Linked DNA regions of Arabidopsis thaliana. The protein of the gene in region 3 interacts with the protein of the main gene of each other region in a pairwise test. Each region holds a gene or a part of one and is shown on either strand. Other genes may lie near its edges.

Region 1 (3,755 bases), on a different chromosome or scaffold from region 3:
GAACCTTCCATGGATCTTGCGTGGCCTCACTTGCAGCTTGTGTATGAGCTTTTCTTGAGGTTTGTTGCTTCGCCTGAAACTGACACCAAGCTGGCTAAGAGATATATAGATCAATCTTTTGTCTTGCGGTTACTGGATTTATTTGATTCCGAGGATCCTAGAGAAAGAGATTGTCTGAAAACCATTCTCCATCGGATCTATGGTAAATTTATGGTACACCGACCTTTCATCAGGAAATCCATTAACAACATCTTCTATAGGTTTGTTTTCGAAACAGAGAAACATAATGGGATTGCTGAGTTTCTAGAAATCTTGGGAAGTATCATCAATGGATTCGCTCTTCCCTTGAAAGACGAGCACAAAGTGTTTCTTGTTCGAGTTTTGATACCTCTCCACAAACCAAAATGCTTGCAAATGTATCATCAACAATTGTCTTATTGTATCACACAGTTTGTGGAAAAGGATTGCAAACTTGCTGATACGGTTATAAGAGGATTGTTGAAATATTGGCCCGTGACAAACAGTTCCAAAGAAGTCATGTTTCTGAACGAGTTGGAGGAAGTACTCGAAGCAACTCAGCCACCAGAATTTCAACGGTGCATGGTACCACTGTTTCGCCAAATAGCTCGATGTTTGAACAGTCTGCATTTTCAGGTACCTGTCATTCTCCATTCTTTCTGAAATAATAGCACCTCACATTTGTTTTTAAACTGGCGAATTTCCCCGTGCTTTGACATTTCCTGAAAAATGCTCTGTTGCTGTTAGTGTTGGGTTTGACATTTGCAGGCCATATCGTTTCGACATACTTTAACTGCATTAGTGTTTCACCTGTTTATGTTAGCCTATTAGATTGTTATATAAAAAGATCAAATGAAAGAGTTGGGTTTGTGGTAATGAAAGTATCTACGTATAGGACTGTTGTATTGTGTTCTGGATAATATCTGATGCAGTTTCTTAGCTAAATAAGGCTTATGGTTACATACTTTAATTGTGTTAGTGTTTCGCCAGTATATCTGTGTTACCTTACCAGCTTATGAGAAGTCGTTATAGCCTACCAGTTATATCAAACGAGCAAATGGAAGAGTTGATTTTGCGGTATGGAAAGTATCAATGTTTAGGACTGTTATATTCAGCTCTAGGTGTTACTCAAGGCAATTTCTAAGCTAAATTGATATAGTAAGGCTATTGTTAAGTAGAAAGTTACAAAAGAAGAAAAAGTATTGCGTTGAAGGGTATCTGTTTTGGCTAAACAGTGACTGCATACGATCTTTCACGGGAAAAGATCAGTCTAGTAGGTTCAGGATCTTTGTTTCAGTCTATTCATGCTCTGTCTGGTTTTCGCAGGTTGCAGAGAGAGCTTTATTCTTATGGAACAACAATCACATTGAGAATCTGATAATGCAAAACCGTAAAGTCATTCTTCCAATTATATTCCCAGCGTTGGAGAGAAACGCACAGAAACATTGGAACCAAGCTGTTCATAGCTTGACACTAAACGTGCGAAAGATATTTCATGACCTTGACCCTGAGTTATTTAAAGAATGCCTCGCAAAGTTCAAGGAAGATGAATCAAAAGCAGCTGAAACCGAAGCAAAACGTGAAGCCACTTGGAAACGTTTGGAAGAACTCGGAGTGCGAAAGGCTTCATAAAGTTAGAGTTGTAGAGAAGAAAGAGAGAGAAAGAGAGCTTCTGTATCTTCTATTGACATGTTGTTCTTCAGATACATACTTGAGAAGAGAAAAGTTTCATATTGGTCTCTTGGTTTGAAGGAAAAAGGAAACTCAAAGATGTAAGATTGTTCCTGTTTTGATTTCCATTATTTTTATTTCTTGTTTCCTCTTAAATCTTCCTGCTTGTTAAAATGGGTTATTTTTGCTACATTGTATGATCATCACTTGTTCCACTTTCTTGAGACTTGTCTTATTCATTCATCTTCTGCTTTCATGATACCTGCAAATATTGCACTTATAGGATTTGGCCTTTTGTATTTTCAGTTGTATCAGAAAAAAAATCGTATCTTTATAAGCAAAAAAACACCTTTTAAAAAAAGTTTTTTTAAGTTTTCAACAGAAACTCAAAGAGAGAAGACCAAATTGTTGGTTTGAGTATTTTGGGTTTGTGGATTTGGTTACGAACTCCATAAGTCTAGGAGGAACTCTGAAAAGATCTTCATGGAGAGATCGGTTTAGTGGTTGGATTTGAATCTTTTAATGGTTATGACTTCAACTAAAAAAACACTGTCGAGAGATGTTGTTTCTTGTCTTGGTCAGTGAAAATTTTCTCTGGTCTTAGGGTCTTCTCTCAGTCACCATCCTCTCTTTCTATCTCTCTCTCTCTTTACTCTCTAATCTTTATCCATTCTCTCTCTTCTTCTCTATGCCAACGAAGCAATAGCTATGAAAAGCTAAACCCTTTCCTTCTTCTTCTTCTTCTTCTTCTTCTTCGATTGTTTAGATTACTTGGGTTTGACCCAAGTTTGCTTCTTTCTATGATTCATCAATCTAGATCTTGCTATCTGGGTCCAGAAACGATTCACGCGCTTCATTCATGATATAAAGTTACTACCTTTTTTTTATTTTACCTTCTGGGTCATGGTTTTGTCTGCTTTTCGTCTTTTGCTTTTGTCTGGATGATTCATAATCTCTCGAGATCTATTATGTTCACAAGAGTTGTTCTTATGCGTGGTGAGATGATCTTAGGAGTGTTTCACTATCTTTCTTCAATTCGGGTTTTTAGTTTCTGAGATCTGTTTTTGAAGAATCTGATCTGAGTTTGAGGAAGTTTGACTAAATAGATCGAAGAAGATGTTTAAGCAGATACTTGGGAAGCTTCCTAAGAAAACTTCTGCTAAGTTTTGGGATAATGGTGAATCCCAAACTCTAGATAACAACAACAATCAAGGAGGAGGTGATGAAGTTTTAAGCCAGAGAACGTCATCAAATGGAGATACTAGTTTGGATTGTGTTTCTTCTTTTGATGTATTGCCAAGGTTGAGAGATGTTTCCATCTCTGAGAAGCAAGAACTGTTTCTTAAGAAGCTTAGACTATGTTGTCTAGTGTTTGATTTTGTAGCTGAGCCTCAACAGAACTTCAAGGAGAAAGAGATCAAAAGGCAAACACTTCTTGAAGTTGTGGATTATGTTATCTCTTCAGGGAATGGCAAGTTCCCTGAATCAGTTATTCAAGAAGCTACCAAGATGATTTCGGCGAATCTCTTTAGTAATCCTCATCGACAATGGAAGAACAAAACTCCTGAGGCATTGGATTTGGAAGAAGAAGAAGGATCTTTGAATCCTTCTTGGCCTCACTTGCAGATTGTTTATGAGTTCCTTTTGAGAATCGTTGCATCTCCCAACACAGACCCCAAGATATCCAAGAAATACATCGATCATACATTCGTTCTCAAGCTATTGGATTTGTTTGATTCTGAAGATCCGAGGGAAAGAGAGTATCTGAAAACGATACTTCACCGCATCTACGGGAGGTTTATGGTTCATCGCCCGTTCATCAGGAAAACTATGAACAACATCTTGTATGATTTTATATTCGAGACAGGGAAACACTCGGGAATCGCCGAGTTTCTTGAAGTTTTAGGATCCATCATCAATGGATTCGCTTTACCACTCAAGGAAGAACACAAGCTCTTTCTTACTCGTGTCTTGATTCCTCTGCACAAGCTGAAATGCTTACCAAATTACCATCAACAGCTTTCTTACTGCGTTATACAGTTTGTTGAGAAAGATTGTAAGCTCGC
Region 2 (3,755 bases), on a different chromosome or scaffold from region 3:
TCTACAACAAAGATTACTTGCTTCGTGCTATCACTTTCCTTCTTTATTTTGTTTTCTACAACAAAGAATCCTTACTTGAACTTGTCACCAAGTTATTCTCTCCCTCTCTCTATCTCATTTAGAAACTTAAAACAGTTCAAAATCTCTCTGTTCTCATTCTTTCATCTCAAGTCTTACTTAACTTAGTTTCCTTTGATGCTTTTTAGCTTCTTCATCTAAATGTCTCATCATCATCACCATGAAACTAACCCTCATTTTGCGCGAATTCCATCGCAGAATCCACATCTCAAAAGCGGTGGTGCTTCTACCTCACAAACATCTTCGAACCAACCACACATCCCGCCCATTCCGCACCCAAAAAAATCGCACCACAAAACCACGCAACCTCACCCAGTAGCTCCACCAGGAATCCTAATCAAGACTCGTGGTCGCCACCGTGAAAATCCAATCCAAGAACCGAAACATTCTGTAATACCTGTACCATTAAGCCCAGAGGAGAGACTTCCACCACGAAAAACTCAAAACTCATCGAAAAGACCATTGCTATTAAGCCCTGAAGATAATCAACAACAACGACCTCCACCACCACAAGCACCACAACGCAACGGAGGGGGTTATGGATCAACATTACCTCCAATACCCAAACCAAGTCCATGGAGAACCGCTCCAACACCATCCCCGCATCACCGCCGTGGCCCACGGTTACCACCACCCTCAAGAGAGACAAACGCAATGACATGGTCAGCTGCATTTTGCTGTGCAATATTCTGGGTCATTCTTATTCTCGGCGGTCTTATCATCCTAATCGTTTACCTCGTCTACCGTCCTCGCTCACCTTACGTCGACATCTCAGCTGCTAACCTAAACGCTGCTTATCTCGACATGGGTTTTCTTCTAAACGGTGATCTAACCATTTTAGCAAACGTCACAAACCCAAGCAAGAAAAGTAGTGTGGAGTTTAGCTATGTGACATTCGAGCTTTACTATTACAACACACTCATAGCAACTCAATACATTGAACCTTTCAAGGTTCCTAAGAAAACGTCAATGTTTGCGAATGTTCATCTTGTGAGCAGTCAGGTCCAGCTTCAGGCAACGCAGAGCCGGGAGCTGCAGCGTCAGATTGAAACAGGTCCGGTTTTGTTGAACCTGAGAGGAATGTTTCATGCACGTTCGCATATAGGACCATTGTTTAGGTACTCTTATAAGTTGCATACTCATTGCAGCGTTTCATTGAATGGTCCTCCTTTAGGAGCTATGCGAGCTAGAAGATGCAATACCAAACGCTAGCGATTTTGCAATTGCGTTTGCTCATTTTTTTTCTTTTACCTTTTTTTGCCACTGTTAGAAATAATTAATCTTCTGTATTTATTGGTATTACAAGTCTACAAGAATCGTTAATTGTTTAATCATTTTTTAATTGCGTCGTTAGTTTTTGTAAACTAGAATGTTCCAAACTTAAGAGGCTGTTTTAAGACTTTTAACTTTATAAATTTCACACGGAAAGAGAAGAATACTATCTAATATTTAAGTTTAAGGAGGTGTTTATTAATTTTGAATGCACATAGGATTTGGAATGCCTTGTTGATTTTAAAACCAAACATTAACATTAAATTTTTTAACTTTTAGATATGAACCAAAAATCTTGATATGGTGCTATATGAGGCAATTTCTCTTGTATGTTTAACCATAAACATTTTAAAATCTGTTAAAGTCCAATGTAAAATCCATAAAAATTTGATTAAAATAACACTTTATTCCAACTAATAAAATAAAATAATAAACGAATAATACCTGATAAATTTGATCCAAATATTTTGACTTGTCTTACTAAATTTATTTGAATAACAAATGATTAATAAAAAGTTATATACCTAATATTCATATAACCAAGGAAATTAAAAAAAAAAAAAAAGAAGAAAAGGCCAATAATGGCCCATGAAGCCCAACATAATGAACACTGTTCTGTCTTTAAACTTAAGCGGTATGACCCGAAATGATTCAACCCGACCCGATCGCCCATATCTTGCCCCGTTCGCATTCGGTTTGCCCAGAGCTCAAGAAACATCCCTCCATAATTTGCTTCTCTTTTCTCCAATTCTCACACATTCTTCTGCTTCGTTAATTTTCTACTCGATTTCGCTCTTCAGGTATGTCTCAGGCCCCTAATTGTCGTTACTTTGACTTTACAATGAAGTATTAGGGTTTATGGTTTATACACACACGTACAAAAGTAATCTCGTGCTAGATCCGATTTGAATTGTGAAAGGAAGCTCTTTTTGTTAATACCCTGATTTGGGTACCTCTCAAGCTTCATGATTTTGCATAATTTTATTGAATAATTGTGGGTATTCGATGATTCTGTAGAAATTTGACAATGAAGCTTGACACTAGTGGATTGGAGACAACTATGCCTGTGATTGGCTTTGGATCAAACAGTGAGATGCTTGATGGGTTTTCGTCTGCACCTTCGTTTGATCTTCCTCGTACCACTGATGTGAGTTTTAGTTACGAAATTAGAGTTCTTTCGGATTCCAATATACTTTGATTTTGCTTTTATTTGATTGTGATATGTTGCTTTTGTTTGTTGTTGGTTTTTTAGTTTGATGGGTTTCAGAAAAAAGCTGTGGAGATGGTGAAGCCTGCAAAGGGTACAACTACACTTGCGTTTATCTTTAAGGAAGGTGTTATGGTAGCTGCTGATTCTCGAGCTAGCATGGGAGGATATATCTGTATGTTTCTCTTTTGTTATGTTTATTTCAGATTTCTGTTTGTGTTTTAGTTGTGAGCTCTCTAAAGGATCCTAAAAATGGAGAATGAGTTAGATTCTTGTTATAGAAATTTCTAATCTTTGTTGTGTTGGCCAGTGATACTGTACAGTAAAAGAAAGGAGAAATTTCTGTGATTGCTGATGTTTTGTTTGTGTTTTTCCATTCAGCGTCGCAATCTGTGAAGAAGATTATTGAAATTAATCCTTATATGCTTGGTACAATGGCTGGTGGTGCTGCTGATTGTCAATTCTGGCACAGAAATCTGGGAATTAAGGTACCCTAACGTTAGTTTTTGTTAGCTTTCTGAATTGATGATTGGGTCTATCAGTTATCTTCCTTGCTGTGGCAATCCGGTTACTTCTTACCTTCCCTTTGTTCATAACTTCATATAGCTAATGTATTGATATCCGAAAGCTGTTGAGTCATTTGTTAGAGACTTAAAAACGTTTTGTATCCGTCTGTTTCCTGGAATAAGAATAGTCTTTATTATCTGTTTGGTGACCTAAGAACGTGTGTCTCTTTCAATTTTAGTAATGTATTTTTCTGCGTGGTGTGGTGGCTTTAGCTTCTCAGTACTGTGAACTAAACATTTATATATCATTATGCATCAATCTTTTTGTTTTGAGTTGTTGTATTCAAGGGCATACAAATGGTTTCGTTGATTTCTTGTATCCAAAATCTAGTCCCAGTTTTATCCTAATAGTTTGATTGCTAACTTGTATACCAAATCTGGATTATGTTGAAACTATGACCCTGATAGAGAGTGTTTTATTTGTGTATCATAGTGCCGTCTACATGAGCTGGCAAACAAAAGGAGAATCTCTGTTTCAGGAGCTTCAAAGCTTCTTGCTAACATGCTCTATTCATATCGTGGAATGGGACTTTCTGTTGGCACAATGATTGCTGGATGGGATGAAACAGTCAGTACCCTAAACTTTATATCCTAACTGTTATTTCCTTCTCGGTCTGTAGTTTCACTCACCA
Region 3 (3,635 bases):
GTTCGAATAAGATTCCACAGTGAAAAGAAGAAGATTGTCTCTGCCTGTCAAATAGTCTTCATCTGTTGTCATGTCATCTTTTCTTCTCAAGTCGATGTGGGACCTGCGACTTCCATTTTAATTAATTATTGGGCTTTTGTTGGATTTGGGCCTAGTTGTGTTCTCTAATTTTTGAAATCCAGTAACAAAAAAAGTAACAAAAAAATTATATATTAATAATTCAATTTTTCAGTGAAATCTTTTCTCATGAAAATTTGCATCAAAGTACACTCAGACTCGAAATTGGGATTCATGTTCATGCATGTGATCACAGTTCAGTAGTAAATAATAATTGGGATTCGAAATTGTTAGATATATTCATTGATGAAATATTAATGGTTAGTTACTGTACTACTTATGTTTTGTTTGTGTTTAACGAAAAGGTACTATTTAAACTTACGATGTTGTTTATCATTATCAAAAAACTGACGATCTATATATTTGGCTCTAACAGAAAACGAAAGGACATGCATAATTTACAATCTTAAAATCTTGATTTCTTACGTGTTGGTTGCCGCATAAACTGTTTCGGTCTCTACTCTCTATAGTATTAACCCAACATTATAGTACTTAAAATAGGCTATGCACAAGTAATAACTAATAAAACACGAAATTTTAATAATGAATAAGATATCAACGAAATAATAAAATTATCCATTTACATCAACCTGAAAAGTGAAACTAGTCGCTGCGAGTAAACCAAATAAACAATTTGAAGTTTCTCTCTATTATTTTGATTTCTAGACCAAAATCCTTTTAAAACAAAGTTTAAATCGTGATTCATGGAATGTAGTAATTAACTAATTATGTAAGTTATGTAATATAACCTCTTTGGAAGATATATAACATTAACCAGCAAAACTAAATTACACTTGGTTAATCTAACTACATCTACTACATAATAATTCGTTGAGCTTCACTTCTGTCACGCCTAAAGACATTCGCATTTAACTCCATGCACGCGCTGATGATAATGATTAAAGTGCTGCTATGAAATATTCCTAATTCCTTGAAAGGGAAGTAAACATTTGATGTCATACAAAGATTTCAATAGAAACTGAATTATGGATGAAGTGGGGGTTATAATATTCATTAATCAAGTCATAGATATGCGAAAATATACAAGAGAAACTGAAAGGAAAGTAAACATTTGATGTAAATATATTCTGTTTTCTTTTTAGGGATGAAGTGGATTATACATCAATTTAGGTAGATGATATATAAAACAAACAATCCTTAGTGGAAATGCATTGGATCTTGCAAAAGAGAAAACAAAAGTCTTCATTACGTTATTTACGTTTAATGTTGAAGTATAACGTTCTGTTTTGCCCGTTGACAAAAATAATCTCTTGTAAACAAAAAACTAAGAATTACAAAATCTTACAAATCATTCTGAACCATAAAAATCATTCAGCTTAATTTCAATTAATTCAAAAAAGATTAGAATATCTAAAGTAACTCAAACTTACCAAATAGTAAAATATAAAACAAAGTAAATCACTGATAGCAATTTCAAAATGTTTGGTATGTGATAGTGCTTGTTTTCCTCATGCTGTATACCAAACCTATTCCATTTTAAACAATCACATCTTAATCATTTCTTCCATAGTCTCGGCGTCGCCACCTGTCCAATCTAACCGACTTTTAAATTCTGACCATCTTATTCCTATTCAATTCCCGATGGCACTGATCACAGTCAAATCTACATAAACAATAATAAAAATCATAAATAACTCTACACTAGTGATAACAAATAAAATCATAATATAAAATTGGGATTTTCGCATGTTTATAAGTAAAGCTAAAGTGAGAGTAGCAGAGTGTGTGGACCTACCCTCGCCGGCAAACTTTTTCCTCTCTTCCGCTTTCTCCTTTTTTCACAGAGTTCTACTCTGTTTTCATTTTTTCTTCTTTCTTTCGTTTCTTAGGTAACATCAAAAGATAGTGTGTTTTTTTCTCCCACTGCATATATGGGGAATTGTCAGGCGGTGAATGCGGCAGTGCTGGTTCTACAACATCCCGGCGGGATTATCGACCGGTACTATAGCTCTGTATCCGTCACCGAGGTCATGGCTATGTATCCTGGTCACTACGTCTCTCTCATCATTCCTTTGTCAGAGGAGGAAGAGAAGAATATTCCAGCGACGGAGAAGGGAGATGATAAGAAGCAGAGGAAGGCTGTGAGGTTTACACGTGTCCAGCTTCTCCGGCCAACGGAGAATCTTGTGCTCGGTCACGCTTACCGGCTCATTACTTCACAAGGTTTCGCCTTTTGCTTTCTTTCTTTTTTTTTCTCCTCGTGTGTGTGATTGGAGTTTATGGTTTTAGATGGTTATTGTAATTTTACAGAAGTGATGAAGGTGTTACGGGAAAAGAAGAGCGCCAAGACGAAAAAACATCAGATTGAGAAGACAACCACGGCGAAGAAGTTCTCGGACAAGAAAGTTCCGGTAAAGACATGGGATTTTGCTAAAAGATCTATCTTTACTCTGTTTTTGAATTGTGACGTAAAAAACTGTGACCTCTTTCGTCTAAATGATCGATAGACGAATCAAGTTAATGAGGTTTGTGTTTTATTTGATAGGAGAAGAAACAAGGGAAGCAATTTCGTGTTATAAGGAATTCAACTTCCCTCTTAAAGTCTAAAACATGGAGGCCGTCTCTTCAGAGCATCTCCGAAGCTACTAGCTGAATGTTTTTGGTTTTTGTTCGAAACAGTATCTGGATCTAGAGTGGAGAGCCTGATCCGAAACTCTACTGAATAATTTTTTGGTTCTGTTTTTTTTTTTCCTGGATATTACAGAGGATAAACGGATGGAGTCTAGATGAAGATGTGAAGAGATAAGTACAGAGAAAGCTCAAGAGAGTCAACAAAACAGAACTTCTTCTTCCTTTTTTTTCCCTCTATCGTCGATGTATATATTTTTGCAGATGGGGAAATCGATGGAAGTTTGTAAGAAGTGTGGTTTTTGTTGATGTGTGAGATTGATTCAGAGGACACAAAGCTTCTGAATAAGAACAATAAAAAGCTTTTGCCATCTTTTCTTTTTCTTGTTTCCAGTCGTTTGGACAAGTTTACACCAAACAGTTTTTGATCAAAGATTAAGTGCTTCACGACATAGTAATCAGAGTTTTACAATGACACATCTGCTACCCCACTACTAAACTAAATAACTCACGGATTATACTTAATGCTCCCAGGGGACTAATCAGTGCCGGTCCATTCCTTCCAGTCCTTGTCTACATGATCCTGAGCCCATTTAATAGCTGCTCGGGCGGCTTGTGGACCTCCAGGCAATTCCCTTTCGTTGAGAGTATCTGCCATGTCAATGAAAGGTATCACCAAGAGTGTACCAGGTCCTCCATACTCACTGCGCAAGAACGTCTCGAAGATCTGTCAATAATCACAATGGTGCAGAACAAAAAACTGTTAAAACTCCCTGAGTCTCATGCCAAGACATATAACAGACTTAGAGAATGGGGTTTAAAGTATCACTCATGAAACAAAAACTTACAGTCGACTCATTGTAAACCATACGTAGATTAATATCCTCACCAAGGCATCATTACTAAGACCACAGCATCTCATTTTCAAA

What was found.
Region 1: the proteins of AT1G10530 (region 3) and ATB' DELTA interact in a two-hybrid assay, tested with the Arabidopsis thaliana proteins (one large-scale study listed by BioGRID).
Region 2: the proteins of AT1G10530 (region 3) and AT3G26340 interact in a two-hybrid assay, tested with the Arabidopsis thaliana proteins (one large-scale study listed by BioGRID).

The regions. Positions count from the first base shown.
Region 1 is NC_003074.8:9,514,936-9,518,690, forward strand, and holds the start of ATB' DELTA (serine/threonine protein phosphatase 2A 55 kDa regulatory subunit B prime delta), read left to right. Parts: upstream 1-2,017; 5' UTR 2,018-2,805; coding exon 2,806-3,755. Other genes in the region: AT3G26020 (Protein phosphatase 2A regulatory B subunit family protein), read left to right, coding at 1-363, 451-654, 787-819, 1,031-1,141, 1,345-1,650. UniProt on the Arabidopsis thaliana protein: The B regulatory subunit may modulate substrate selectivity and catalytic activity, and may also direct the localization of the catalytic enzyme to a particular subcellular compartment.
Region 2 is NC_003074.8:9,651,195-9,654,949, reverse strand, and holds the start of AT3G26340 (N-terminal nucleophile aminohydrolases (Ntn hydrolases) superfamily protein), read left to right. Parts: upstream 1-2,013; 5' UTR 2,014-2,150; intron 2,151-2,367; 5' UTR 2,368-2,377; coding exon 2,378-2,497; intron 2,498-2,602; coding exon 2,603-2,732; intron 2,733-2,938; coding exon 2,939-3,045; intron 3,046-3,556; coding exon 3,557-3,691; intron 3,692-3,755. Other genes in the region: AT3G26350 (proline-rich receptor-like kinase), read left to right, coding at 220-1,290. UniProt on the Arabidopsis thaliana protein: The proteasome is a multicatalytic proteinase complex which is characterized by its ability to cleave peptides with Arg, Phe, Tyr, Leu, and Glu adjacent to the leaving group at neutral or slightly basic pH.
Region 3 is NC_003070.9:3,470,901-3,474,535, reverse strand, and holds AT1G10530 (D-ribose-binding periplasmic protein), read left to right. Parts: upstream 1-1,861; 5' UTR 1,862-2,009; coding exon 2,010-2,301; exon of another isoform or gene 2,302-2,388; coding exon 2,389-2,489; intron 2,490-2,623; coding exon 2,624-2,731; 3' UTR 2,732-3,080; downstream 3,081-3,635. Other genes in the region: PRIN2 (Serine/Threonine-kinase), read right to left, coding at 3,245-3,433.